4 linked regions of the Elephas maximus indicus genome follow. The protein of the gene in region 1 interacts with the protein of each later gene in a pairwise test. Links are inferred from orthologs where the notes say so. Each region holds a gene or a part of one and is shown on either strand. Other genes may lie near its edges. The genes, in order: NIF3L1, DMRTB1, SAT1 and CDKN2C.

Region 1 (7,239 bases):
GCTAGTAGTCAAGCGCTTAACTACTTGCATTACACAGGGACTCCTACTCTATGCTTAGAGGAAAACTATCTACCATTTCTTTGATCTACCTTTGATATGGTAAAAGGTAAGGAAATTAGGCCAGAAATTATAATGGCTGGTTCTTCCTGACCACAGTTTCACAAAAAAGTTTTTTTCTATTGTTACTGTCTTAGGGTTAGGTGATTCAATTTCAAAATGGCTATCCTGGTACATTAAACTAATTTTTCATATACAAATAATGGTACTCACCTCACAGGTTTTGGGTGTCCTCTCACAAAAAACTTCTATTTTAATATCACCTACATCTGTATGCAATGTCACAGACTAAAAGGGAGAGAGAATTTGAGAACAAGTAAGATTTCTTCACGTGACTTTATGCACTGTATTGTTTCCCTTACTGGACATCCAGTATGACAGTCTGAGTAAAAGGAGACGGAAAGAAATACTGCATCAGAGATGACGTTCACATAACAGCTCTAGAGATGAGTTATACTTCTTCCCTAAAATTTATTCTAACAGCAGGAAAAAATACCATAAGATAGATATAAATGATAAGATAGATGTAAATGTTAAAGTAAAAAGGTATTTATGCTAAAAATTGGAAACAAATATTGAGATAGAAATTAGTTTACATTTGAATTTTTTATCAGTAAAAACAAGTGTTATGTTACTATTATTGATTTAAATGGTAAATCACCAAAACATAGTTTCCACCATATCCCTTATGTAATTTTATCCTGAGAAACAGGGTTAAAAATCAGTTTTTCTTTCTTTTAATTAATTTTTTATTGTGCTTTAAGTCAAAGTTTACAAATCAGGTCTCTCATACAAAAATTTATATACACCTTGCCATACACTCCTAATTGCTCTCCCTCCAATGAGACAGCACAGTTCTTCCCTCCACTCTCTCCTCGTGTCCATTCTGGTAGCTTCTGGCCCCCTCTGCCCTCTCATCTCCCCTCCAGACAGGAGATGCCAACATAGTCTCATGTGTCTATTTGATCCAAAAAGCTCGTTCTTCACCAGTATCATCTTCCATCCCCTATTCCAGTCCAATCCCTGTCTTAAGAGTTGGCTCTGGGAATGGTTCCTGTCCTGGGCCAACAGAAGGTCTGGGGACCATGGCCTCCGGGGTCCCTCCAGTCCCAGGCTGACCATTGAGTCTGGTCTTTTTACAAGAATTTGGGGTCTGCATCCCACTGCTCTCCTGCTCCCTCAGGGTTTCTCTATTGAGTTCCCTGTCAGGGCAGTCACCGGTTGTGGCTGGGCACCATCTAGTTCTTCTGGTCTCAGGCTGATGTAGTCTCTGGTTTATGTGGTCCTTTCTGTTCCTTAGGCTCATAATTACCTTTTGTCTTTGGTGTTCTTCATTCTTCCTTGCTCTAGGTGGGTTGAGACCAACTGATGCCTCCTAGATGGCCGCTTGCCAGCGTTTAAGACCCCAGGCACCACTCTCCAAAGTGGGATGCAGAATGTTTTCTTAATAGGTTTTATTATGCCGATTGACTTAGATGTTCCCTAAAACCACGGTCCTCAAACCCCCGCCCCGGCCACGCCAGCTCTCAAAGAATTCAGTTTATTCAGGAAACGCCTTTGCTTTTGGTTTAGTCCAGTTGTGTTGACCTCTCCTGTATTATGTATTATCTTTTCCTTCACCCATAATAAAACGTATATGTATTTTTTTTTTTTTATTATCTATCAATTTCTTTCTTGACTAAAGAAACAAGTATAAAAAGCATCAAAGAATTATCTTAGGTGAGGGGAAGGACAACACACAATACAAGGGAAGTCAGCACCAGTAGACGAAACCAAAAGCTAAGAAGTTTCCTGAACACAACGAAACACTTCGAGGGACAGAGTAGCAGGGACAGGGGTCTGGGGACCATGGTTTCAGGGGACACCTAGGTCAACTGGCATGACAAAGTTTAGTAAGAAAATGTTCTGCCTCCCACTTTGGTAAGTGGTGTCTTAAAAGCTAGCAAGTGGCCATCTAAGATGCATCAATTGGTCCCAACTCACCTGGAGCAAAGGAGAATGAAGAGCACTAAAGACACAGGAAAATGTTACCCCAAGAGACAAAAGGGTCCATCAATCTGAGACCAGAAGAACTAGATGGTGCCCAGCTACCACCAGTGACCACCCTGAGAGGGAACACAACAAAGAGTCCCTTACAGAGCAGTAGAAAAGTGTGATGCAGAACTCAAATTCTAATAAAAAGACCAGATTTAATGGTCTGAGACTAGAGGAACCCCAGAACACATGGCCCGCAGACTCTCTGTTAACCCAGAACTAAAACCATTGCTGGAGCCAACTCTTCAGACAAAGATTAGATTGGATTACAAAACGTAACACTCATGAAGAGTGTGCTTCCTAGTTCAAGCAGATACACGAGACTAAATGGGCACCTCCTGGCAGGCGGCAGGTTGAGAAGGCATAAGGGGATAGGAGCTGGTTGAATGGACACAGGAAACACAGGGTGGAAAGGGAGAGTGTGCTTTCACATTATAGGAATCGCAACTCATTCCAGAGAGGGGAGAAAACTATTTTGAGGCTTTCTTTTTTCTTCTCCTTACAATAATATCTAGCAGTCAGGAGGTATGGCCAGGTAGAAGGTAGAGGATAGGTGGGGGTGGGGCAGGGCACTATTCTCATTGCTTATCTTCTACTTCAAGTTAGAACCCACTGCCTTCAAGTCCATTCTGTTTAGCAGTGAAGCACTTTGACCACTGTGCTACCAGGGCTTATCATACATGGTTATACTGTTCTGCTCCTCCAACTCCCCCTTTCCATCTCTAATAATCTTTTTTCCATAAAAGGTAAATTCTGTGCATTTTAAGTGAAAACATTAAAGAATTAAAAAATAATTTTGCTGTTTTGTTTTTGTTTGGCATCATTCTACACTGTATGCCTCTACATCCTACTTTTTCTCCAACTTGGTGCTGAAATTTTCATGCAGTTTTATTTCCCTTGACTGGATTTCTAGAACTTACACGCATTCAAAAATATTCTACAAAACTTACCATTCTTCTTAATGGTTTCAGGAAGCACTGTTACTTAATGTATCACAGTGCTTCTGAGAAAGTGAGTCTGTTTGTAAAAAACAAGAGCAAAAAAGAATTGTTTTTTTCCTCTTAATTCACGCTTGCTTATTGTATATTAATAAGAAAAAGCCTCAAAGAGCATTCCCCACGTAATACAAATCTGGTTATAGACGTAGTGAGGAGGTCCTGAATATACTTCCTCTCCCTCACTCTTCTTCCAGAGCCTCCTTGTAAGTCTTCCAACAAGTCAGGCACACTCCCCCTCCTGAGGGTGTCAGCACTGGATGTTCCCTTTCCCTGGATCCCTCACACTTAGACATTAGTACTGCTGATTCCCTCACCGCCAAGTCTGCTCAATGTCAGGTCTCATTGACCTGTAAATCCTATTTAAAATTGTTTTAACCCTCCTACCTGCCCTATTTCCTTTTCCCATCACACTTATCACTAACATACTATACACTTTCCTTATTTAAAGTGTCTCTTTCCAACACCACCTCAACCCCAAATGTTCACTCAGAAGTATCCCAAGAACTAAAACACCCGTTGTCGAATCGATTCCGGCTCACAGTGACCTATAGGACAGAATAGAACTGCCCTGTAAGGTCTACCAAGGAGCGCCTGGTGGATTCGAACTGCCGACCCTTCCGGTTAGCAGCCGAGCTCTTAACCACGGTGCCACCAGGGATCCAAGAACAAGAACTAAGATAGTGTCTATCATATAGTTAGCGCTCACCAAGCACTTGAATAAGCGAATGAAAGGATTAAAACCGTCCATTCTTAATTCGGAGCTCTGGTGGAACTGTGGTTAACAGGTTGCTAAACAAAAGGTCTGCAGTTCGGATCCACCAGCCCCTCCTTGGAAACCCTGTGGGGCAGTTCCAATCTGTCCTATAAGGTCGCTATGAGTCGGAACCGACGCGACGGCAACGGGTTTTTTATACTTCACCATTTCAGTTAAGCAAAGCCGTTGCATAAAACAGAAGATGGAGCCGGTGATGTTCGCACGACTCCGGTCGCCGGAAGTTATAGTTTTTTGGCCACCGGAAGTTGGACGCGGGGCCCCTAACAGAGGACGCTCTTTCTTACAAGTTCCTTCGGTCCTCCGTTCTTACCTGGCTCAAACCAAATCGACTAGAAAAAGGGAACCATGGGACACGCTTGACAGTGAAAGGAAAAAAAAAAAAGAAGCTCTTAATAATTACACTAAAACAAGAAGCGTAACTCGGAGCTATCCTGGGCCACCTGTATAAGTGCCTTGGTCTCAGCTGTAAAACTTGACGGACCACTTCCGTTCAACTCCTGTCCTCGGCCCAGTCTTACAACACGGGGAGCTACTGCGCAGAGCCGGAAATGGCGTTTGAGAGGCATTTCCAGGACGGGTGAGTAATGTACTATCTAGAAACCTGCGTGGATTTTCGATATCTTAGAGGTAGAGCCTAGTTAGGAGTTGATTCCGACTCATAGTGACCCTATAGGACAGAGCGGAGCCGCCCTATACGGTTTCCGAAGCTGTAATCTTTAGGGAGCAGATTGCCTCGTCTTTATCCCGCAGAGCCGCTGGTGGGTTCTAATAGCCCACTTTTCGGTTAGCAGCTGAGCTCAGAACCATTGCGGCCACCGGGGCTCCAAGTTAGGGTAGACTTCGGTTGTTGTTGGAGTGTAGGGAAAGGAGCGGAAGAGGAGGCCTTGCAGAGAACTGGCCTGTCGCAGGGGTGCATGGGACGGGGGTCCTGACTCCTGGGGTTACTGGCTGTGCCACCTGGCGCTCTTCAGTGCCCAGGAAAAGGTGCTGCGGTGGAACTGACATGAAGGGTAGATGAGAACCTAAGAGGGAATAGTTTGCAGGTTGGGAAAAAAAAAAACCTTAATGTTAGTAAACAGTAGCAGTCACAGTGTTTACTCTGGGCCGGTCATTGTTCACGGCACAATACCTTTTGAATTTTCGTGACAATCATATCAGCTGGGCACTATTATTTACATTTCTTTTTTTCAGACGGGAAAACTGTAAAGGTAATTTGCCCGTGGTTGACATCTGTGCCTTTGGGGTTCAGTCTGGCTTCAGAGTCAGTGCTCTTAACCACCATGCTGTGCTGCCTCTCATTGTCGTTAACTGCGGCTTGAAGCCAAGTAGCCTCGCAGTATCCTAATCTATGCAATGGGAATGTTCTACCATGTTTCCACGGTCTCTTTCAAATATAACAGTAAATAACTCAAAATCAGCGTGGTGGCCTACTGGGACTTCACTTTACCTCTTGCTAGACTTAGAAGAATCTAGCGAGTGGATGTGGTAACAGAATCATTAGATCTTCCAAGTCCCCAGGCTCGCGTTGTTTTTCCAGGCCTTGCACATAAGTATCCATATCCTAATGAAATACTTTCTGCTGTAAAAATGTTGGAAAAAAGTTTTTTTCTTGAAATCATTGGGTTCTGAATGTTTCATTACATTTACAATTGGCTGTGCTTTCTTGTTAAGGAGCCCTGGCGGAGCAGTGGTTAAGTGCTTGGCTGCAGCCTAAAGATGGGTGATTCAGACCCACCAGCTGGGTCTGCAAGAGGAAGATGTGGCAGCCTACTTCCCTAAAGATTGTTGTAGTTAGGTGCCATTGAGTCATTCTGGCTCATAGTGACCCTATAGGACAGAGTAGAACTGCCCCATAGGGTTACCTGTAGGGCAGAGTAGACCTGGGTTTCCAAGGAGCAGCTGGTGGATTTGAACTGCCAGCCTTTTAGTTAGCAGCCATAGTAGCAGAGATCTTAACCACTGTACCACCAGGGCGTCTCCCTAGAGATTACAGCCTTGGAAACCTTATGGGGCAGTTCTACCATTTTCCTATAAAGTTGGTATAAGTCAGAATTCACTAGAGGGCAGTGTGTTTTTTAATATCAATCGTGCATACCAGAAGATGTTTTTCTTCCAAAACCAAAAATTTTTATAGATATTAAATTTAAGAACAGAGTTGACAGTGTTATTTTTGTGGTTATTTGGTTAATCATTTACTGATTTTAATTTGTCACCTTTCATATTTTAGAGCCAGCAAATTTTTCCCAGCTCCACAATTTCCTTTTTTAGTCCTCTACCTTTCCTTTTTTTGCCAACCTTTCCAATTTTTGTTGGCTGTAGATGTCTAGAAGGCTTACAGGCTGTGTAGGCAACGTACCTACACCGTTAGCTCTCCCACCTCTTGAGTGTGGCTTTTGTGCTGTAGGTGTTAATGGTTCAGGAGCAGAAGCTCCTGCCTTTTCCTGGCCATGACCCTGCCCATTCAGAAGAGTGACCCACTAATGCATCCCATGATACTGGCTGCTGATAAAGCAATTGATTTTTTAAAAAATATTATTATTATTTTGGTAAAGCACTTTTGCCAGTATGTACCACCCTAACTCCAAATTGGAAACCCTGGTGGCGTAGCAGTTAAGAGTTACAGCTGCTAAACAAAAGGTCGGCAGTTGGAATCCACCAGGCTTTCCTTGGAAATCCTATGGGACAGTTCTCCTCTGCCCTGTAGGGTCACTATGAGTCAGAATCGACTCGATGGCAACTGGTTTGGTTTTGGTTTTGGTTTAACTCCAAATTAAGGAGCCTGGCGGTACAGTAGTTAAGCACGCTTGGCTGCTAACTGAAAGATTTCAGTTCAGACCTACCAGCCGCTATGATGGAGAATGATGTGGCAGTCTACTTCTGTAAAGATTTCAGCTTTGGAAACACTACGGGGCAGTTTTACTTTGTCCTATAGCGTCGCTATGAGTCGGAATTGACTCCATGACAGTAGGTTTGTTTTTTTGGTTTTAACTCCAAATTCTGCAAGGAAGGAGGAGACTGCCATTCTGTGAGTAAACATTAGTGCCTACCTATGCTGGTGATACTGGGATTTAGAAAACATAGTTCTTTAATTTTTTTTTTTTTTTGCTTTCAGTGAAAGTTTACCATTCAGCTTCTCCCACAAAAACTTATACACTCATCGTCATATGATCCTAGTTGCTCTTTCTACAATGTAACAGCACATTCCTTCTCTTGTCCTTGTATTTCCCGTGTCCATTCAACCAGCTCCTGTCCACCTCTGCCTTCTCATCTCACCTCTGGACAGGAGCTGCCCACATGGTCTCATGTGTCTACTTGAGCTAAGAAGCACACTCCTCACCATTATCATTTTATGTCTTACAGTGCAGTCTAATCTTT
Region 2 (6,968 bases), on another chromosome or scaffold:
GGAGCTTCTCTGAGTAGGAACCCCAGGTTTAAAGGACATGCTGTGTTCCCGGTGCTTCTTTCTTGGTGGTATGAGGTCTCCCTACTTTCTGACGGATTCTCTTATCCCTTGTAAGATAAGAAGTGGTGCAGGCCACACCCAAGGGAAACTCCCTTTACATTAGATCAGACATGTGACCTTAGTAAGGGTGTTACAATCCCACCCTAATCCTCTTTAACATAAAATTACAATCACAAAATGGAGGACAACCACACAATACTGGGAATCATGGCCTAACCAAGTTGACACGATTGGGGGGACACGATTCAATCCATGACACACACACACACATATAGTTTTTAATAAAAAAATCAGAGACTTTTTAATAAATAAATAGTAAAAAAAATAAGTACAGCAAAGCAGAGACAAACCTAGAACCTCTTGTCATTGCTGTTAGATGCTGTCGAGTCGATTCCAACTCATAGCAACCCTATGTACAACAGAATGAACAGTGCCTGGTCCTACGCCATCTCCACAACCCTTATTATGCTTGAGGCTACTGTTGCAGCTACATCTCGTTGAGGGTCTTCTCCTTGGCTGACCCTCTACCCTACCAAGCATGATGTCCCTTCTCCAGGGATTGATCCCTCCTGATAACACATCCAAAGTATGTGAGACATAGTCTCACCATCCTTGCCTCTAAGGAGCGTCTGGTTGTACTTATTCCAAGACAGATTTGTTCATTCTTTTGGCAGTCCATGGTATATTCTTCACCAACACCACAGTTGAAAGGCATCAATTCTTCTTTGATCTTCCTTATTGATCATCCAGCTTTCGCAAGCATATGAAATGATTGAAAACACCATGGCTTAGTTCAGATGCACCTTAGTCCTCAAAGTGACCTCCCTGCTTTTCAACACTTTAAAGAGGTCTTTTGCAGCAGATGTACCCAATGTAATGCATCTCTTGATTTCTTGACTGCTACTTCCATGGGTGTTAGTTGTGGATCCAAGTAAAATGAAATCCTCAACATCTTCAATCTTTTCTCTATTTATCATGATGTTGCTTATTGGTCCAGTTGTGAGGATTTTTGTTTTCTTTATGTTGAGGTGTAATCCATACTGAAGGCTGTGGTCTTTGATCTTCATTAGTAAGTACTTCCAAGTTTTCTTCACTTTCAGCAAGCAAGGTTGTGTCATCTGCATAACGCAGGCTGTTAATGAGTCTTCCTTCAATCCTGATGCCCTGTTCTTCTTCATATAGTCCAGCTTCTTGGATTATTTGTTCAGCATACAGATTGAATAGGTATGGTGAAAGAATACAGCCCTGACACACACCTTTCCTGACTTTAAACCAATCAATATCCGCTTGTTCTGTCCGAACAACTGCCTCTTGATCTATGTACAGGTTCCTCATGAGCACAATTAACTATTCTGAAATTCCCATTCTTTGCAATGTCATTCATAATTTGTTATGATCCAGACAAATGCCTTTGTGTATTCAATAAAACACAAATAAACATCTTTCTGGTATTCTCTGCTTTCAGCCAGGATCCATCTGACATCAGCAATGATATCCCTGGTTCCACACTCCCATCTGAATCCAACTTCAAATTCTGGCAGTTCTCTGTTGATGTACTGCTGCAGCCGCTTTTGAATGATCTTCAGCAAAACTTTACTTGCATGTGATATTAATATTATTCAATAATTTCCATATTTAGTTGAATCACTTTTCTTGGGAATAGGCATAAATACGGATCTCTTCCAGTTGGTTGGCCAGGTAGCTGTCTGCCAAGTTTCTTGGCATAGACGAGTGAGCACCTCCAGCGCTGCATCTGTGTGTTGAAACATCTCAGTTGGTATTCCATCAATTCCTGTAGACTTGTTTTTTGCCAATGCCTTCAGTGCAGTTTGGACTTCTTCCTTCAGTACCACTGGTTCCTGATCATATCCTACCTCCTGAAATGGATGAATGTTGACCAATTCTTTTTGGTATAGTGGTTCTGTCTATTCCTTCCATCTTCTTTTGATGATTCTTGAGTCATTTAATATTTTTCCAGTGGAATCCTTCAGCATTGCAACTCGAGGCTAGAAGCTCTTTAGATGGATATAAAGTTATTAGCGAAATTCCCGAAGAGCCAAATAATGCAGGAAGCACATACAGGTACTTCTGTCCTCTTATTAAAATGAGGCATATTTTTTTTTTAATGCAAAAAATAAAAAAGGCTCTGCATGCTTCTTTTCAGGTTTCCAGTGTCTAACGAGCCTCTTGCAGGAGAATGGCAACCACTTCCTATTCCCAGGCAGCTGGTGAGAAGTGCAGAGCGCAGCTGCCATCAGAGGCTAAGAAAATCAAGGTGGTCACCAGTCCTTGGTTCTGACCATTCTACCACTGTAAAGAGAAATGTCAAAGAAAAGACAATTAACAACCCTACACTTCACTGGGGTTGTTAACCAATGTCATAAAACAATATGTGTACTAACCGTTTAATGAGAAACTAGTTTGTTCTGTAAACTTTCACCTAAAGCCCAATTAAAAAAAAAGGGAAAAAAAAAAACTCTATACTTTTTAACCATAGTATTAACCATAACTACTTCCTTAAATAACTGTATGACTGATCCTCTGATTGATTTTAAGTTTTTCAAATTAGGTGTTGGTGGCCCTTTAAAACAAAAAAAAAAGGTCTGTCACAAATTTCTATCAAACGGCAACAACAACAACAAAAGAACTAATTTAGTAGCCTTGGGTAAACTATTTAATTTGTGCCAGCTTTTCAGGTGTCTCAAGGTTTGGTCTGGTTTACAGAGATAACTAAATTCAAGCTAGTACCAGAATACCCGGTTTTACTTTAAAGTATAAGTGTCTTTCAAGGAGCCGTGGTGATGCAGTGCTTGCAGTACTTGGCTGCTAAGGGAAAGATAGGCACTTCGAACCCATCAGCTGCTCTGTGAGAGAAAGATGTGGCAGTCTGCTTCCCTAAATATTACAGCCTTGGAAACCCTAAGCAGCAGTTTTTCTATAGGGTCGCTATGAATCCTCGTTGACGTTAAAGCCACAGTTAAGTATGCTTTACTTTGGGAGCCATCAACAAAAGTTAACAGTCCACCTTTCCGAAATGCATCCTCTTAACAAGATGAGGAGTCTTGGTGGCTGCAGTAGTTAAAGCGCTCAGCTGCTAACCAAAACGTAGGCAGTTGGACCCACCAGCCGCTCTGTGGGAGAAAGATGTTGCACTCCGCTTCCCTGAAGATTTACAGCCTTGGAAACCCTATGGGGAGTTTCTACTCTGTCCTATAGGGTCGCTATGAGTCCAATCGATTCCACAGCAATGGGTTTCGTTTGTATTAGCAACTCTTAAACGGGAATTACTGTTAAGGGCACACGCCCTTGAGCAACCATCACACTGCGCTGAGCTCTTGAGAATATTCTGGAAGCATCACCATGAACGGCTGCTTCCCTGCAGGGAAGAGAAATAAAATTCAGCAGAAGCGGCAGCTTTTGGGAGGAGATACACGGTTTGCCTTTTAGAACGCTTTTCTACTGGAATGGGTTTACAGAGAGCAACATTCCTGTGGAGCTTTAAATCTGTGGACCGTTGAAAATCGCCCCGCCTTTTTTGAAGTTACAAAATACCTTCTATCTATGGGGAGGCGGGAATAAAAAGTTTGGAGAATTAAACGCCTAAGACTTCAGCTCACCCAAATGACATACATGCAATAGCATTCCATGAAGAACTTATTCAACCCAATCCTGTGCACCTAATTACCCAATGCACAGAAATTCAGACTCTCCAAATTTTGCACCCCCCCAAAAAGGAGGGAAAATGCAAGGGTGTTGGCTGCAGTTCCGGGACATACTGAGAACCACTTTGTTACAAGTGTATCCAACGTCCCCAGCACCAAGGACTTGTGGGGCGCTGCTCATTCCTATTCCACTTGCTCTGCGGCTCCCGGAGGTGGTGGTTGTGTAATGAAGACAGACCCTACCAAGCTGGTCGAGAAGATGATTCGCACCCCCAAGTGCTCCCGGTGTCGGAACCATGGCTATCTGGTGCCAGTCAAGGGCCACTCGGGCAACTGCCGCTGGAAGCAGTGCGCCTGTGAGAAATGCTACCTGATCAGCGAGCGCCAGAAGATAATGGCTGCGCAGAAAGTGCTCAAGAGACAGGCGTCCGAGGAGGAGCAGGAGGCGACCCTGGGCGCTCAGGGGCCTAAGCCGGCCACTGGGGCCGCGGCCGCCATCCCGGGCTCAAGCCTCCGTCGGCTGTCGCCCGCCGCTTCGGGGGACTCGGAGCCCAGACCCCACGGCCGTGCGATCTCTGGCTTCCCCGAGAGGCCCCCGCGGGGCCCCAGTCCGGGCCCGAGCGCCTTCCACCCGGTTGTGAGCGGCCGCAGCCACATGGGGCCGAGCGAAGGAGCGGCAGCTGCGATGTCCAGTTCCATGGGGCCCCAGCTGGAGGCAGAGGCCGCGGCCAGGGGATGTCCCGGCCGCCTGGAGCTGCGCAGGCCTCTGCGGCCTGTGTCCAGCCCACCGTTCGCCGACCTCGGTAAGATTCCTAGGCCCCGTGCTGCCTCAGCCCCACCATCCGTTCGTCTCAGGAGTGTAGTCTTCCTGTTCCCCGAGCTGGCGGTCCAGGCTCGCCGGGATCCTGCAGGGATGGGCCGTGGGGTTGGGAAGGTGGTGGAGGTGGGGAAATGCCTTCCAAGGGTAACCTTCGTTTGAGAAGCCTTCCTCAGAACATGGATTGGGTTCAATGCGTTTTTGCAAAAAGGGCAATAGAGCGATAAAAAGGTATGGGTGGTCCGGAGGGCTTTTAATATTCAGCTACAGGGTTTGCCTTGCCATTTTCCAAGAAAAAATGGCCCCCACGCCAAGTTGGCGTTGGCTCCTCCTCTGCTGAGACTTCCGGAGCTGGTGCACCCCTTCCCGCCAGTGGACTGGAGGCTCCTCCCCCAGCGCTTCCCTGTGGTGGCCTGCTCAACTAGGACTGCGTCTGCGCATCCTTCCCTGCCCTCCCTTTGTGTAGGCTGGAGGCTCCTCCCAGAGGACCGCATCTCGGCCGCACCCTGTCCAGTGCGCCTGCGCGCTCCTTCCCGCCCTTTTCTTGGCCTGGAAGCTCCTCCCCCAGGACGTCACTGTAGGTGGGCCGGCTCAAATATAACCGCGCCTCCAGGCAGTTCCCGTCCTTCCTGGGACCTGGGGGCTCCTCCAAGACAATGCGCCTGCGCGCCCCTTCCCGCCTTTTTCTTGGGCTGGCAGCTCCTCCGACAGGGCTCCACTCTAGGTGGGCCGGCTCAAATATAACCGCGCCTCCAGGGGGTTCCCTCCCTTCCTGGGACCTGGGGGCTCCTCCAAGACAATGCCCTGTGCACCTCTTCCCGCCCTTTTCCTGGATGTGGCGGGAATGAAGTTGCTTTCCTGGTGCAGCCTCTGCTTACACAGGAGGGGCATAGTTGATTTGAGAGCTTTTTGCCGCTTTTTTTTCTCTTCCACATTGTGCTTAAATTGCATTGTTATGTCTTGCTGTTTTCAGTAGTAAAGTACAATTTTAATCACACAGATTTTGTGTGTGTGCTTTAGGTGAAAGTTTAAAGAGCAAGTTAGTCTCTCATCCAAAAAATGATACACAAATTGCTTTGCGGCATTGGTTGAAATCCCGCATTGTGTCACGCACTCTCCTCCTTTTCAGTTTTCACCCCCAGATCACTTTCCATTTGTCCAGTGTTGTTTGGGGGCAGGTGTTGCCCATTTGATCTCATATTCTTGATCTAAGAATAACGTTCCTTATGTGTGTTGTTTGTTTTATAGGCCTGCCTAGTCTTTGGCTGTGGACTCCTGGGGGCAGTGGTTAAGAGCTCAGCTGCTAACCAAAAAAAGTCAGCTGTTCAAATCCACCAGCCACCCCTTGGAAACCCTGTGGGGCAGTTCTTTCTACTCTGTCCTGTAGAGTAGCTATGAGTCAGAATCGACTCCAAGGCAGTGGATTTGGTTTTTGTTTGTTTGTTTTTAATCTTTGGACGTAAGGTGAACTTCAGAAGTGGCTTAAATTCTGAGTTAGAAGGGTGTCCAGGGACCGTAGTCTCCTGGTTCCTCCAGTCTCTGTCAAATCAGCAAGTCTAGTCTTTTTTTTGAGAATTTGATCTTTGGTTCTACATTTTTCTCCTGTTCCGTTCAGGACTCTCTGTTGTAATCCCAGTCAGAGCAGTTGGTTGTGGTAGCCGGACACCATCTAGTTTTTCTGGTCTCTGGATTGTGCTGGCTTTGGTTTATGTGGTGCATTAGTCCTTTGGACTAATTGCCCCCTTGAGTCTTTAGTTTTTTTCACTCTCCTTTGCTCCTGACTAGAAGAGACCGGTAGTTGTATCTTAGATGGCCGCTTGCTAGCTTTCAAGACCCCAGAAATACTCTCCAAGTAGAGTGTAGAACATTTTCTTTATGAACTATGATATGTCAGTTGATGTAGATGTCCCCTGAGTCTATGGTCCTTTGCCTTTGAGCCTGAGAACTTCATCCTGTAAGGTGTCATGTCTAAGAGGTTTCCCTGACAGTGCTACTTGTGTGCTCTATCGTCTGTATTAATATATGAGGAGCACCTACTGAAATTTAGAAATTTCTACCACTGAACCTGTATCTGCCAGTGGGTGCAATTCACATACAGATTTGAGACTTTAAAAAAATAAGCCTTTAGGTGTGGACATGTGTTTTCTTGGTATTTTCCCTATGGCAGTGTGGTAGAGAGCGCACAGGTCTGAGTCAGGAGGCTGGGTGGCAGGCTCCTTATCTATCAGTTTCTCTCCTCTGGATGCTCTCAAAAGGCCATTTTGACTTCTAGGACATTCTAGAAAAATCTGGGTCCTGAGGGAACAGCTGTCTGATGGAGAAGACCAACCCGAAACAGCAATCCTAGGAGAAGGATGCCTTTCCAAGGTCACAGGGTGCCTTTCTGTATTGAGTCTCTTAACAAACAGGGAGCTAATGCTTACTACGTA
Region 3 (7,912 bases), on another chromosome or scaffold:
GGTTAAATGCTCCAGCTGGTAACCCAAGGGTCGGCAGTTCGAATCTGCCAGGTGCTCCTTGGAAACTCTATGGGGCAGTTCTACTCTGTCCTATAGGGTCGCTATGAGTCGGAATCGACTTGACGGCACTGGGTTTGGTTTAATCCACCACACTATAAACCAACTGAGTATCAGTCCTGCATGTATATATGGATAGAAAAAAGACTAGAAGGAAATCAACCCGTTAACAAGAATTTTTTTAAATTTTATTGTAGTAAAAGATATATAACATTTGCCATTTTAACCGTTTTTAAGCATACAATTCTATGACATTAATTACATTCACCATGTTGTGCAGCCCTCACCACTATTTCCAAAACTCCACAGCAGCTGGTTTTTCTACTATACGGGGCTATTCCAAAATTACAACCAAGGGAGGTGATGGTGCGACTTTGCAGGCGGTGGGTGCTGGCTAATAGGGGTTATTTGTATTGTCTTTTTGTATTTCTGCATTTCTCAATTTTTCTTAATAAGTATGTATTACTTTTATGAAGGAGCCCTGGTGGTACAGCAGTTAAATGCTCAGCTGCTAACTGAAGGGTTGGCAGTTTGAACCCACCCAGCGCTCCTCGGCTCCTCAGGAGAGAGACCTGGTGACCTGCTCCTGTAAAGATTAACCCTTTGCCTTTGAGTCGATTCTAACTCATAGCGACCCTATAGGACAGAACAGAACTGCCCCATAGGGTTTCCAAGGAGTGGCTGATGGATACAAACTGCCAACCTTTTGGTTAGCAGCCGAGCTTTTAACACCGGGCCACCAGGGCTCCCCCGTAAAGACTACAGCCTAGAAAACCCTATGGGGCAGTTCTACTCCGTCACGTGAGGTAGCTATGAGTTGGAATCGACTCAATAGTACTCAACAACAACAAGTACACTGCTTTTACAAGCAAGAAAAAAAAAACACCTTTCATTAGAGTTTAATGGGGCAGATTGGACAGCTTCACTTTGGCACCAAAATCAACTTCTTTGCTAGTTCTACCACTTCTTAAAAAAAAACACTTAATCCCTCTGAGCTTCGGTTTTCTCAGCTGTAAAAATGGAGGTAATATTACCACTTCCCATGATAGTAACTGTGAGGATTAAATGAGACAATGAATGCAAAACACCTAGGTGTTTTCCCTTTCTCCCATTCTCCCCCTTCTCAGTCCTCCTCAGTTTCAGGAATTCTCTTTCTGACAAAGATTAAATTCTGTTGTAGTAAACTGCACACACATCTATAAAAGTAAACTGTATATGGTGAGGGCTGGTTTCAAAACTTAGTTATCCTCTATACTCCAAGTACCTCGCACAAGGCTGGATAAGTGCTTAATAAATACAGTAAAACCCTGTGAAAGGTGGAACCAGTGTAAGGCGGAAACCTGTCAGAAAAGGAAAATTTAAGTATTTTCCACTAACAGAGAGGGACAGAAAAGTGGTAAGACTGCACCCTGTCAAGGGCAGAAAATGTGCAAGACCAGAAAAACAAGGGGTTCTGGTTCTCACAGGTTTCATTGTATTTGTTGATTTGTTGACTCATTAACCAAATAAAACTTTTCCAAATGCTAGGTAGTTACTCCCCTTTTTATGCAGTAAACTAAAAAAAAAAAAAAAAACCCACTGCCGTTGAGTTGATTCCAACTCACAGCAACCCTACAGGATAGAGTAGAACTGCCCCATAGAGTTTCTAAGGGGCGTCTGGTGGACTTGAACTGCCGACCTTTTGGTTAGCAGCTGTAGCACTTAACCACTACACCACCAGGGTTTCCTTTTATGCAGTATTCAATACAAACTCCAGTATCAGGAGGGAGTAATGGCTCACCCATAGCACCTATCTAAAATGGAATTAGTCTAAAATTTCAAAAGCATAACCCGATTCACTGCCATGAAGAAAACTCAAATTTCTTAGGGTTCTAAGCTTCTACACATACACAACCACAACAGGCTTTTTTTAGCCACCTATACTCTGGTGGCACAGTGGTTAAGTGCTCGGCTGCTAACTGAAAGGTTGGCAGTTCGAACCCACCAGCGGCTCTGTGGCAGAAAGATGTGGCAGTCTGCTTTTGTAAAGATTTAAGCCTTGGAAACCCTGTGGGGCAGTTCTAGCTTGTTCTGTAGGATTGCTATGAGCTGGAAGTCACTTGACAGCAGTGGAATCTTTCAGAATAGGTCCCTGGGTGGTACAAACGGTTTGCACTTGACGACTAACCTGAAGGCTGGCGGTTCGAACCCACACAGCAGCACTGTGGAAGACAGTTCTGGTGATCTCTTTCCATAAAGATCATAGCCAAGAAAACACAACGGAGTTCAGTTCTACTCTCTAACACATTGGGTCACCGCGAATTGGAATCGACTCGGCGGCCATCTCAGAACACGCTCTTCTTGTCCACAAAGGCAAAGGGAAGCATGAGAGCATGAAACAAACTGGAAAAGCAGAGAAGAAAAATCATGATTTTTCATAACCAAAAAGTCATAATTCTAATAGAACACTATTCTAAAAAACTACGCAACCCAAATAGGAAATGGCCTTGTTCGTGCTCTAACTAGGCAGCTACCATTAGTTCTTAGTCATGAAGGACTAAATTATCAGTAAATCTGTAATGAAAAAAATCTGTTGCCATCGAGTTGATTCCAACTCACAGCAACCCTATAGGACAGAAATCCTCCACAGGGTTTCCAAGGAGCAGCTGGTGGATTCAAACTGTTGACCTTTTGATTAGCAGCCAAGCTCTAACCACTGCACCATCAGGGCTCCAAATCTGTAGCAAGCTTTCCTAAGTTCTCTCATTTTAGAAAGCAGAGGAAGGAAGGTCCTCTGAATGATCATTCAGGAGGTGTAGCTCATGCTGTTAGGAAAGATACTACCCATAGTAGATTAAGCAACCTGATTTTGACAGATTTTTTGAGAAAGACGTTTCTTAAATTTCCACAGTGACTCACTATGTGTGCAATCCTGGGTGGGTGGGAAGGAGAACTGAGAACCTACTTTTGATTTTTTTACATACAGTTTATTGCTAGCAAAGACAGAGAATTACGTGTTGAATGTTAAAACCAGTTGCCTCTGAGTGGATTCTGACTCATGATGACCTCATGTTGTGTCAGAGCAAAACTGTGCTCCATAAAGTTTTCAAAGGCTGTTTTTTTCAGAAGTAGATTGCCAGGCCTTTCTTCTTAGGCACCTCTGGATGGAGTGGAATCTCCAACTTTGGTTGTCAGTTGAGCTTGCTTACCATTTGTACCACCCAGGGACTCCTGTTGAATGTCATTTGGTGATAGCCCTGTGGTCATTTGGTGATAGTTCAACTCCTCATTCCACAGACTGCAGATGCTGCAAGCCCCTTTTCTTGCTTTCTCTCACTGTGAAAATCATCTTTTGACTTAACCCTGAGCCTAGGCAAGGCTGGAGGAGCAAGGTTTGTCTGGGAAGGTGGTTGTAAAAGAAAAACTCATTCTGCAGAAGCCTGAATACTTCTTCCAGTGGGTACAAACAGGAAGAAGTTATACAGTACTCTAATTCAGCTGTTCTCATTTTGGTCTCAGGACATTTAAAAAATTATTGAGAAACCTAAAGAGCTTATCTTAGAAAATTCTAGAAAACATAAGAAAACACAAGCACACATTTCTCTAGTCATCCAAACAATGATGTCATCACACATCCTGTGAATTTATTTCAAAATAAAGTTTAAAAAAATAAAAATAGTACAGAGGATGGAGCAAGTAGGCATTACATGTGTTTAACTGCAGCTACAGAAGGACAGGAAAGACAAAATAGGGTGGAGATAAAATAGGAAGAATTACTGGCTAAGAGTTTTCCAAAACTGATTAAAGACATTAACCAGGAGATTCAAGAAATGTAATGAATCCAAAGAAGAATGAATATTTTTTAAAATCTATACCAAGACACATCAAAGAGAAACTGAAGAACACGAAACACTAATAAAAGATACAAAAATATTTGGAGGAAAAATTATGTATTAATTTTAAACAATTAACTTTCTAAACAATTAACTTTTCTACAGCACTGGAAGCCAAAAGATAGCCAAATAATACATCAATATGTAGAAGAGAAAATAATTTTCAACCTCAAATTTTATAAGCAATGAAAAAAAATTCTTCAAGAAATTTAAGATGAAGTGAAGACATATTCAGCAAAACTGAGAAAGTTTGACAAAAGCAAACCTTCACTGAAGGAAATTATGAAGAATGTACCTCAGGCAGAAGAAAAGAGTTTCCACAAGTCAGAGATTTAAAAAGGAATAGTGGGGCGGGGGATACGTAACAAAGAAAAAACTTCACTAACTCTAAAAACAATTGCAAGAATAAGAAAAAGAAACTGAAGAACCTAAACAGCTTACCTTAGAAAGTTCTAGAAAACACAAGATACACGAACACAGTCCTTTAGTCATCAGAGCGATGACGTCATCACACAACGGGTCACCTTTGGAAAATTCCGAGATTTAAAAAGTCAAATGACGTTACTATTATTATGAAAATAGTTCTGCCTTAGACCTTCTCCGACCGTCCAATGCCAGGTCTCCAGAATTTGGTTCACCGACGGGCCAAGGAGAAGGCAGCAAGGTCACAGGTTGGGGGACACAGGGGAAATTCCATTATTTGCAAAAATTACTGGGGCGCGCGGTTTCCGGGAATATTCCATGAGGCGCCGCAAGAGGGCGCCGCTAGAGAGCGCCGCTGCGCGAAGCCGCCGCGCCCCAGGCTACTCTCGGTCACCGCCCCCGCTCGCGCCTGCTCAGCTCACACGGGCTCGGAATTGAGAGCGAAGCCGGGGGAAAAGGGGTGGGGGCAGGGGGGAGGGCCGCGATCTCATTGGGCGAGATGCCTCCGCCTCACGGCCCGGGGCGGGGCTCCTTCGCACTAAAAAAGCGGCGCTGGCCGCAGCTTCTACGCGTAGCGTTAGTCTTCGCTCTGGTGAGGGTTTTTTGTCGCTTGCCGAAGTTCGCCGGGTCATGGTGCCAGCCTGACTGAGAAAAGGAAGCTCCCGGGAGACGAATGAGGAACCACCTCCTCCTGCTGTTCAAGTACAGGGGCTTGGTCCGCAAAGGGAAGAAAAGCAAAAGACGAAAATGGCTAAATTCGTGATCCGCCCAGCCACCGCCGCCGACTGCAGTGATATCCTGCGGCTGATCAAGGTAGCTGGCGGCTCGGGCGCCTCCTGGGCCAGGGTGGGGCGGCCTCTTTCCGGGGAGAGTGTGGGTCTCTGGGACTGGGTCGCTGCTGGAGAGCCGGGGCGGTTCCCCTGCCCCTGCCCCGCCCTCTCCTGCCGCCCTCCCCTCCCGAGCCTCATCCCCTTCCTCTGAGTTGTCGGTGGCCTCACTTTGTTTTCTGTTCTCTCTTTTTTCTTCTGCGTGCCTCGCCCCAGGAACTGGCTAAATATGAATACATGGAAGAGAAAGTAAGGTTAACTGAGAAAGGTAACGCAACAGTGGGGCAGGGGGGAGGGACAAGAGTCCGGTGCCTCTCACCCACCCCGAAGCCAACACTGTGTCCCTCCTTGCAGATCTGTTAGAAGATGGTTTCGGAGAGCACCCCTTTTACCACTGTCTGGTTGCAGAAGTGCCCAAGGAGCACTGGACTCCGGAAGGTAGCCACCCCTCCCCTTCCAGAAGCTGGTCAGAGAGACTGAGTGTTGTGTAAAACGTAGTGTCTGCTGTGTAGAACCACTAACTACCCAGGCCCAAGTTACTTAGTGAGAAGTTGGCCAGAAATAATAGCCAGCCAGTGTGGAAAACTACTGAGGAGGAAAAAACAAAAACAATACATGTGCCGCACTTAATGTTGTTGGGTGCCATCTAGTCGTTTCCGACTCGTGGAGACGTCATGTGACAGTAGAACTGCCCCTAGGGTTTTTTCGGCTGTAATCTTTACGGAAGCAGGAAAAGAACTGTTTAATTATCAGTGCTGTGAAGACCCAGAAAAGTTAGGTATAATGTCTTTTGTTGTAATTCAGTTTCATAAAATGGTTCTTGTTTGACCCTAACGTAACCTTTTTTGTAATTGTGTTAAATTGCATTTTTTTCTTTAATTTGTCCCAATCTTCAGGTTACAGTCTCTAGCTTCGCCATGTACATGGCCCTTCCGTGTACATGGATGGGCGGGGAGGTAACTAAAAGATCCTTTACACAATAAAGTAGATGATCATGATAAATGAGGTAAGGCCCTATTATCACACACTTAAAACACGGTAGATCAGAAACTTCATTATACTCGCTTCCTGTTTGTTTGCAAAGGAATATAAAATGGCTTGAAAGTTTAATTTAAAACCTTTGCCTCCCTTTGGAATTGTGGATACCTGTTAAGACAGAATCCGATGCTTGGTTTTTTTGTTTTAGTTTTCATATTTTTGCTGGTCCTTGTTGACTGGTCAGAAGATAAGAGCTAAAAGGGGAAGTTGTTTGGGTGGGAGATTTCTTAAGCTTTTTCTGAAGTTGGTTCCCCAAGCTAGAAGAAATGAGGTGCTTTTTAAGACTTATGGATGTTACATAATAGCTGTTCGTGGCTACTGCTGCTGCTTCTGGCTTTAAAACTGGGGAAAGCAAATTGGGATATGTGTGAATTGGAAGGCAAGTTCTGAAATTAAACGTTGCACCTTTAGCCTGATCTGACCTTAAGGAAGCAGAGTTTCCAGACAACACAATTAATATTCTGAACTGCCGTGTAAACCTGACTTATTCCCCAATCAGCATACCAGTATATCAGTAGGATGTGAATAATATGTGTGTTTACTTTAAAAACCATAGCAGTTTAGCTCTGGCAAGTAATTAAAGCATTCTTGCTTCCTGAGTGTGAGCTCCAGCAGATTGAAGAGAGGCCAGCCCACAGTTCTAGCCTGGCTTCAACTAGCTCTAATGTGTGCTTTTTGCAAATAAGTGTTCTGAAAACAGTGAGGTTGTCCAACAGTGGCCTGGGCTGCACTATCATAAAAGGAGACAGTCTTAATTTAGTGGCTACTTGTTTCTATAATATATGCATGTCTGTTTTTTTTAAAACCTGTGATAGGCTTCTGTTTTGCAGCTACAACTTTTGTGGATTTTTCTTCTCTAGAACTCATGTGATACTCTTATTACAGGACACAGCATTGTTGGTTTTGCCATGTACTATTTTACATATGACCCGTGGATTGGCAAGCTGTTGTATCTTGAGGACTTCTTTGTGATGAGCGATTATAGAGGTATGGCTGAGTACAGAGGAGTGGGTTTAAAGAGAAATATAGGGCGTTAAATCCTTAAAATGTTTTTAATTGTACTTCTCTTTTAGGCTTTGGCATAGGATCAGAAATTCTGAAGAATCTAAGCCAGGTATGTCTTAGTCTTTGGCTTCTTAATTTGTAAGGATTACTGGATTTATTTTAATGACTGAATCAAATTTAGGTCTGGGGAAAGCAGGTGAAATGTCACTGAGTTTTGTTTTCCTCCTCCCCCTTAACAATAGGTTGCTATGAAATGTCGCTGCAGCAGCATGCACTTCTTGGTGGCAGAATGGAACGAACCATCTATCAACTTCTACAAAAGAAGAGGTGCTTCTGATCTGTCCAGCGAAGAGGGATGGAGACTCTTCAAGATTGACAAGGAGTACTTGCTAAAAATGGCAGCAGAGGAGTGAGAAGCGCCAGTGCAGACAATGACAAGTTCCATTCTATTTAGGAAAAATTCTCAGCTTCTCTTGCTTTCTAACCTGTTTGTAGTGGAATAATAGAAAGAGCTCCCATTCCAAAGCTTTATTACCAGTGGCGTTGTTGCATGTTTGAAAGGCAGTCTACTTAAAATGGCAATTTTGTGTTCAGATTGGAGTCAGATTTTTCCTTGAATTTTTTTTTTTTGATAAACAAGGTGGTATGATCTTTATATGTGAAAAAAAAAACTTCATTCTTGTGAGTCAT
Region 4 (7,052 bases), on another chromosome or scaffold:
GACCTTACCACTACTCTTTTAAAAGTAACTTCCATTTAATCTTTCTTTCAAATAAAGATAATCAAGCTTATTTGTAGAGTTATTTTACCAAATTTTATTTGAATTAATTTTAGATTTATATAATAGTTAAAAAATAGTTCAGAATGCTCCTATATACCTTTTATCTAGCTTCCTCTAATGTTACTATCTTACATAACCATGGTATGTTTATAAAAACTCAGATATTAACATTGATACGACACTATTAACTAAACTCTCGAGACTTTACTTGGATTTTTCCACTAATGCTCCTTTTCCGTTCCAGGATCCAATCCAGGATATCACATTATATTTTTCATGTCTCCTTAACCTCTTCCAATCTGCGACAGTTACTCAGTCTTTCCTTGTCTTTCATGATCTTGACACTTTTGGAGAATATTGGTCAGGAACTTTGTAGAATGACCTTCAATTTGAGTTTGTCTAATGTTTTCTCGTGATTACAGTGAGGTTATGGAATCTGGGGAAGAATATCACAGAGGCGGTGTGTCCTTCTCATCATACCATATCAGGGGACATATGATATCAACATGACTTACTGCTGGTGATGTTAACCTTTATCCCTTGGTTAAGATAATCAAGATTTTTAACAATAATTACTGGTTTAGAATGTAATATATGTGAAGATTAATGCTACAACAGAGTTAAATCAAGACTTAAGTAATAAAAATGTATTGTTTAATGTTTTAATGTTCTTTAGACATCTAGTGCCTGATCTGCACTCTCAAGTAATGGAAAAGGCGTAAGATTTTAAGACCCAGGGCCTGCCTGTAAATTCCATACCCACTACTTAATGACTTTAAGTCTTAATCCCAATCAGCCTCAACTCTCACTTGAAAATTGGGTTAATTACCATATTTACCTCACAGAGTTATTGTGAATATTAAAAATGTATGCATAATATTTAATAACCATGAAATGCTATATGTTTATTAATTATTACTATTATTTTTAAACTTTTGAGTTGCTTAACCTAACCTAACCCATTGCAGTAGAGTCAATTATGACTCATAGCAACCCTACAGAACAGAGTAGAACTGCCCACTGGGTTTCCAAGGCTGTAAATCTTTACAGGAGCCGACTGCCACATCATTCTCCCATGGAGCGGCTGGTGGGCTTGAACCGCCAACCTTTAAGTTAGCAGCCAAGGGCTTAACCACCGTACCACCAGGGTTCCTTTGGATTGCTTACTGGGTACTTTTTTCTTACTTTACAAAAAGACTTTCATAAGTGGTATGAGTACCCATGTGAAGAAGCCTGCTGAATTTCAGAAATAAAATACCAAAGCCACAATTATGATAAAACGGCCCCCTGAGAGTGCCAGTCTGTTTCCCACTTCTTTTGGATCTATAAAAGCAACAAAGGGGAAGACCTTGAGACCAGGTGAAAAAACTGTAAATACATTCACATTTCCAAACATTATTCATTTAAAAACTGTGCATACTTGAGCCAACAAGGGAAATACACAAAATAATTTGACTAAATTATATTCCTATAAACCTTTCAAAATAATTGTAAATCGCTGAATGAAAAAGGTTTCCATCACTGTTAGTATTTAATATCCAAGTATAAAACCTGTATTTCAGTATTTGAGGGACATATCATTACTAAGTTAAAAGAGAAACCACTGCTTTCAATATAATAGTGTTCTTAACTGTGAAACTTTCTTGTACACCATAGTGTAAATTTATTGAGGATAGAGATGCTCATCTTAGAATCCACTTCAGTGAACCAGCACTTAATAAATATTAGCTTTTTATTGGAGGTATTTTGTAATGCTTACTTATACTCTTTGAACTAAGACTGTAATCTTTGTGCTGCCAGTTCTGATTTACACAATAGGCAGACTAGGCATGTGCTTTAGGACTCCAGCATAGCCAGAGTGAAAAAGAAAGAAAAAACTTTCTTAAAGAATTTAATAGTTCATCAAAAGCTTTGAAGTGGTCATCTTGGGAAACATCAGAACTTTGTTGAACTTCTTCACACTTTTTTTTTTTTAACTTACGTATGAGGTATGGGTGGTGGGATATCAAAATCCTTCCAGTGTTTAGGACCTCCAAAAATCTTAATCCAGCTCTGTGTTTGGTTTAAATTAATATAAATTTTATTTACACAGTAACTCATTAGAAAGTGTTCTATTTCATGAAAATTTTAACACATGTATACCCATACTTCATGTAATGAGTGCAGTTTAAGTTCTTCCTCATTACAATCTTTTCTAAGCAAGAAACCATAATCCATGCTAGAAAGCAACTCATAAATTGGACAAATGCCAATTATCTCTTATCAGCCAACGGTGCTAATATATCATCACACCTAAAAGATTACATAGTAAATTAACATAATAACTAAAAGTAAAGTATTATTACTGATATAAATGGAAATCTAAACGTTCCATTTGAAATGTCTAAGTATGTAAGAAAACAAAGAGGAGTTAATTCCTTGTGGTGTAATTCCTGCTTAATTTACAATTCAAGTTTAATAATCTAAGAAAGGAAATCGGGTTATTCCCAGCTTTAGCTATTCCTCTACTTAACCTCCCCCCGCCCCCCCATCTGTTGCTAGATGATTATCTAGGTGTTTAGCGTGTTTTGTTGCTAATACGTCCAGTACACTCCAAGGAGCTGGGTACAGATGCTGCTTGAGAATATGCTTGCTAGAGGCCAGTAGACCACTTGTCATATTTTGCTTAGTTTCAATTTGACTGTTGGTGCATCATGCAAACTATGTTGGATTTTTTTAAGAGCATAAAATGTAGAAAACAATCACCAACTGATCTCACATAGCTAAAGGAGAAAGTTAAAAGTACAGAGAGAATTGGTATCTCGGATGATTGAAATAACCGATTAGAGAAGAGAGTATTCCTTTGCATGTAGACACCTCCCCCCACCCGCCAAAAAAGTTCCCATCTAAGCAGTCAAAGAGAGAACTTTGGCAACAAAGAAACGGCCTTATTAGAAAACGTCTCCCAAGAGTCACAATAAAAAAATTTTTTTTAAGTTAATTGCTTTTCTCCCTGTCCGCCAAGAATATTTCACACTCTTGTTAACCTCTAGAACATTATGGCTTTTGAGTACGTTATGATTTCTTAAACTTAGGCCCTACACCATGTCTTAAGTTCTCGGATGCTTTTTCTGAGCACTGTTCTTGCTGTCATTCCGGGTTCTCTCCTTCACCCCCTACGGCCACTTCTGCCCACGACAGCTCTCGGAGTTGATCTGGCAGGTGCGAGGCCAAGGCCCGCGGCTGAGCGAAGGAGGCCGAGTTTACACAGCGCGCACCCCAGAGGAGGCAGGCTGCAGCCGTAGGCCTGGCCGCCCGAAATTCGCGAGCCTGGAGGGAGAGCGCGGGGGCAGGCCGGCCCGCTCCGCCAGGCCCGGAGAAGGGCTCGCGGTGCGCCAGCTCGCTCTCAGCCTCCCAGCAGCCAGCCCCGCCGAGCCTCCAGGCCCTGCAGCTCTCCATAGCCCTCTACAAAAAAACCTCTTCCTCCCCGCCCCCACCCCCGCAGTGCTCGGGGCAGCAGAGGGTTTCGCTTCGCAGACTCCAGCCCGCCCGCCAGCCGGAGGAGGCCAAGCCCGGCTCCGCAGGGCCGAACGCCGCTCCAGCTGGGGCCTGGACGCCGGGCTGGCGGGAGGGAGACAGCGCGAGAGACCGAGGGAGGAGGCGGGGAGCTGGGAGGCGGGAGGAAGGGAGCTTGGGCCTGGGGGGCGGAGCCAGGGAGCCCGCGAGCGAGAGCGCCGCCAGGGCGGAGGGAGGAGCGTGGGCGGCGCCCTGCCTTCCCGCTCCCGCGGCTCAGCAACTCTGCGGAGCGTCCTTAAAACTCTGCCGTTAAAATGGGGGCGGGTTTTTCAACTCAAAAAGCGCTCAATTTTTTTCTTTTCAAAAAAAGCTGATGAGGTCGGAAAAAAGGGAGAAGAAACCGGCACCTTCTCTGCAGCGGCAACAGAAGCAGCAATTGTTTGAGCGAAAAAAGAAACAAGGGAGGGAGGGAAGGAAAAGAGCAGAAAGGGGGACGACGCGCAAGTGCCTGTAGGAGTGAAGGGAGCAAAGACTGGCAATTTGGGGGGGACCAGCTACAAAAGAAACTAACTGTCACTGGGAGCGCTGCTGCTCGGGAGGAAGCAGTGCTGCCCGGCTTGGCTCCAGGGCACAGCTGGCTGCTGGCCGCTACCCTGTTGGCGGCACAGGCTGGGGGCACAGGCCGGGGGACCGCGAGAGGTTGGCGAAGTGGCACGGGACGCCGAAGCGGCTGGGCTCTCGCCGAGAGCGCGGCGGGACTGGCTGCGCCCTGGCGCTGTGGCGACTCTCCACAGTTGGAGCCTAGCTTAAGCTTCCCGGGAACCTTCCGCTCTCTGGAAGCCCCCAGAAAACCGGGAAAGGAAGGAGAAAAGCGGCGGCAGCTCAATGAGTGCCTACAGTAGGAAGCCAGAGCTGCCTCGGTCGTAGGCGGGAAATTACCGCTGGGCTGCCCGGTGCAGCCGCGATGCTGCCACGACCTGCCCCAGTGGTCCGGGCCCCATAGACGCTTCCCCACATCGCTCTCCTTCCGCAGGCTGCCGGGAGTCGGTGGACCGGGTGGAGCCGGCATGAAGGGCTTGCCGGGGGCCCGACGCGCGCCCGGCAGCCTGTGGAGAAGCGCTCCGAGCCCGGCTCCCACGGCCTCTGAGGCTCGGCGGGGCTGCGGCAGCGCGGCGGACCGGCTCCGGAGTCTTCCTGCGCGGCATTAGCCCGCTGCTCGCCCCCGACGCGTCTAAAGGCTCCTCCTGCGAAGCCGAGACCACTGGGGAGTGGTTACGACCTGTAACTTGAGGGCCACGGAACTGTTACCCCCGTTTGCCTTTGGCGATCATCTTTAACCCCCGGGAGCACGTAAGCATCCAGCCACCGCGGCGCTCTCCCTGTAGCGGAGGACTCGGGACTACCCCTTCCGCGCGACGGATGGAGACCGAGCCCCCCGGAGGACCTGCCCCTGCAGTTCTGGCTTACGCAGCTCAAGTCACCACAGTGAACAAGGGTGGGTTATTGCCTTTTCTCCCCTCCCTCCTCCCAGCGTCTTTTCTTCCGCGGTATTTTCTGCCCTGTCTAGTCCTTTAAGTCTCAGCACGTATTCCTCACAGAGATCTGTAGCGAAGGTACGTGACAGCTCTGCCTACATCTTACGTCCAGAGTAATTTACATGGAATGTAAGTGTGTTTGTGTGTCTCTCTGTTGAATCACCAGAATTCTTCATAGGGGTTAAGCTAAAAAGCGAGGAGAGCAGCCCCTCTCCAATGGCTCAGTTTTGCTGAATAATCACGTGTGAATCTAGGGGCGGGCTTTTGGCAGGCAGATCTTACTAGTATTTACTACCAAGCTCTACTCCAGAAGATTAACCATCCCAGTCCTTCTGTCAGTCTCCGATGCCATCATGCAGCCTGGTTAGGAGCAAAAGAAAGGGGAGAAAGAAAAACAACTAATTCATCTTTTCCCGATCGTCAGGACCCTAAAGAATGGCCGAGCCTTGGGGGAACGAGTTGGCGTCCGCAGCTGCCAGGGGGGACCTAGAGCAACTTACTAGTTTGTTGCAAAATAATGTAAACGTCAATGCACAAAATGGATTTGGAAGGACTGCGCTGCAGGTTGGTATCCAGAGAGGTGGGGAAAACAGGTCAATAATGTTGCCTACGTGACCCGGGTTTCTAGAGTGACAGTTTTTAAGCTTGTAGGGGTACAAAATTTTACTGTTTTTAAACCTAGTTGGTTGCCATATTTTATATCTTTAAGTGGATCCAACTCCCCAAAATGACGTACTTTGAACAAGCTCGTCGAATACAATAACATCCTCGATATCAAGTGGGTTCTAGGTTTAGTCTTAATTTTTGGAATGTTTTTGTGACGGTGGGGATTTTAAAGTAGTCATAGCAGCGCCCAGGTTTTTTTTTTTTTTCCAAATAACTCTGTAAACACATTATTGTGATTATTATTTGAAGTAAATACATTGTTATTAGTGGTTTCACGTACTTTGCCCCAATAATTGACTTTAACATTAATTTTATTGACTACTGTCGAGGGTGTTTTTCCTTCAAATGCTTCAAGTTTTGACAAACGACCTCTCCTCGTTTGGAATGGGTGGCCTGGGCACGGGGACAGGATGTACATTTCACAGTTAATGTAATACCATCCTCCCACTCAGGACTGGGGAAGAATAAAAAGTTGAATTTTCTAATCAGAACTCAACTTTAGTGTTTTCGTATCTGCGGTCATGCCAGTGGTATGCTCTAATTTTTAGTAATTAGATTTACAGGCAACAATTGAAACATTTCCAACTATCAAGTATTGTACCTAATAATTTTTTTCCTCCTCTGAATGTTATCATGTAACTTAGCGAAAGGCTTAGAAACAGAAATAAGGCAAAGTAGCCTCAGATAGTTGTTTTTATCAGAGTTCTGACGATATTCTTATGAACTATTCTCATTCGGAAATGCAAGACTTGAAGCTGTTTTTGAAGATTCATTAGGGAGAGGGTTTTTAGAGTGCTTTATTTTAGTAACAAGAATTGGAAATTTAAGCAATAGGAGATATACTATTATAGATGAAGTCCATATAGCGTTTACATTTTAAATCAGAATATACTCACCTTTAAAATTTTTCAGTATTAAGGAACATACGCATAGATAACTAAATTATTTATCTTGTTATTGTGGGTGTATTAATTAGAGAAAGGAATTTTTTTTTCCTTTTCCACCTAGTAGTTTGGAACGAGTTTGGTGATGATAGCAATGCCACAAATTTAATATACTGAAAAGTTACCTATTGAAAAATCTCAAAAGGTTATATAAATCTCGCAAAGAATGTGTCATTTACCCATGTTTAGAATAAGATCTTACAGTGCTTTTGACGATCAGGAAGACTGGGAGATTAACACTGCAAAAAAAAAATTGACATTTTTAATATAACCCTGCAATCTCATTTATGTTAAACATACTTACCATGATAGTAACACCCACTTACTGTGGCTTAGTCCCAGTACATATAAT

The links.
Region 2: the proteins of NIF3L1 (region 1) and DMRTB1 interact in a two-hybrid assay, tested with the Homo sapiens proteins (2 studies listed by BioGRID and IntAct). The two-hybrid records come from large-scale screens. The link is inferred for Elephas maximus indicus from reciprocal best matches to the Homo sapiens genes NIF3L1 and DMRTB1.
Region 3: the proteins of NIF3L1 (region 1) and SAT1 interact in binary tests that used the Homo sapiens proteins (3 or more experiments, as listed by UniProt). The two-hybrid records come from large-scale screens. The link is inferred for Elephas maximus indicus from reciprocal best matches to the Homo sapiens genes NIF3L1 and SAT1.
Region 4: the proteins of NIF3L1 (region 1) and CDKN2C interact in binary tests that used the Homo sapiens proteins (3 or more experiments, as listed by UniProt). The two-hybrid records come from large-scale screens. The link is inferred for Elephas maximus indicus from reciprocal best matches to the Homo sapiens genes NIF3L1 and CDKN2C.

Annotation. Positions count from the first base shown.
Region 1 is NC_064824.1:99,577,470-99,584,708, forward strand, and holds the start of NIF3L1 (NIF3-like protein 1), read left to right. Parts: upstream 1-4,238; 5' UTR 4,239-4,412; coding exon 4,413-4,441; intron 4,442-6,136; exon of another isoform or gene 6,137-6,889; intron 6,890-7,239. Other genes in the region: PPIL3 (peptidyl-prolyl cis-trans isomerase-like 3), read right to left, coding at 271-345, 3,796-3,837. UniProt on the Homo sapiens protein: May function as a transcriptional corepressor through its interaction with COPS2, negatively regulating the expression of genes involved in neuronal differentiation.
Region 2 is NC_064821.1:96,785,877-96,792,844, forward strand, and holds the start of DMRTB1 (doublesex- and mab-3-related transcription factor B1), read left to right. Parts: upstream 1-3,948; coding exon 3,949-4,525; intron 4,526-6,968.
Region 3 is NC_064846.1:155,343,723-155,351,634, reverse strand, and holds the start of SAT1 (diamine acetyltransferase 1), read left to right. Parts: upstream 1-4,907; 5' UTR 4,908-5,099; coding exon 5,100-5,165; intron 5,166-5,395; coding exon 5,396-5,447; intron 5,448-5,533; coding exon 5,534-5,617; intron 5,618-7,102; coding exon 7,103-7,204; intron 7,205-7,290; coding exon 7,291-7,331; intron 7,332-7,464; coding exon 7,465-7,635; 3' UTR 7,636-7,912. UniProt on the Homo sapiens protein: Enzyme which catalyzes the acetylation of polyamines. Substrate specificity: norspermidine = spermidine >> spermine > N(1)-acetylspermine. This highly regulated enzyme allows a fine attenuation of the intracellular concentration of polyamines.
Region 4 is NC_064821.1:93,990,978-93,998,029, forward strand, and holds the start of CDKN2C (cyclin-dependent kinase 4 inhibitor C), read left to right. Parts: upstream 1-4,038; 5' UTR 4,039-5,050; intron 5,051-5,074; exon of another isoform or gene 5,075-5,168; intron 5,169-5,224; exon of another isoform or gene 5,225-5,514; 5' UTR 5,515-5,525; coding exon 5,526-5,654; intron 5,655-7,052. UniProt on the Homo sapiens protein: Interacts strongly with CDK6, weakly with CDK4. Inhibits cell growth and proliferation with a correlated dependence on endogenous retinoblastoma protein RB.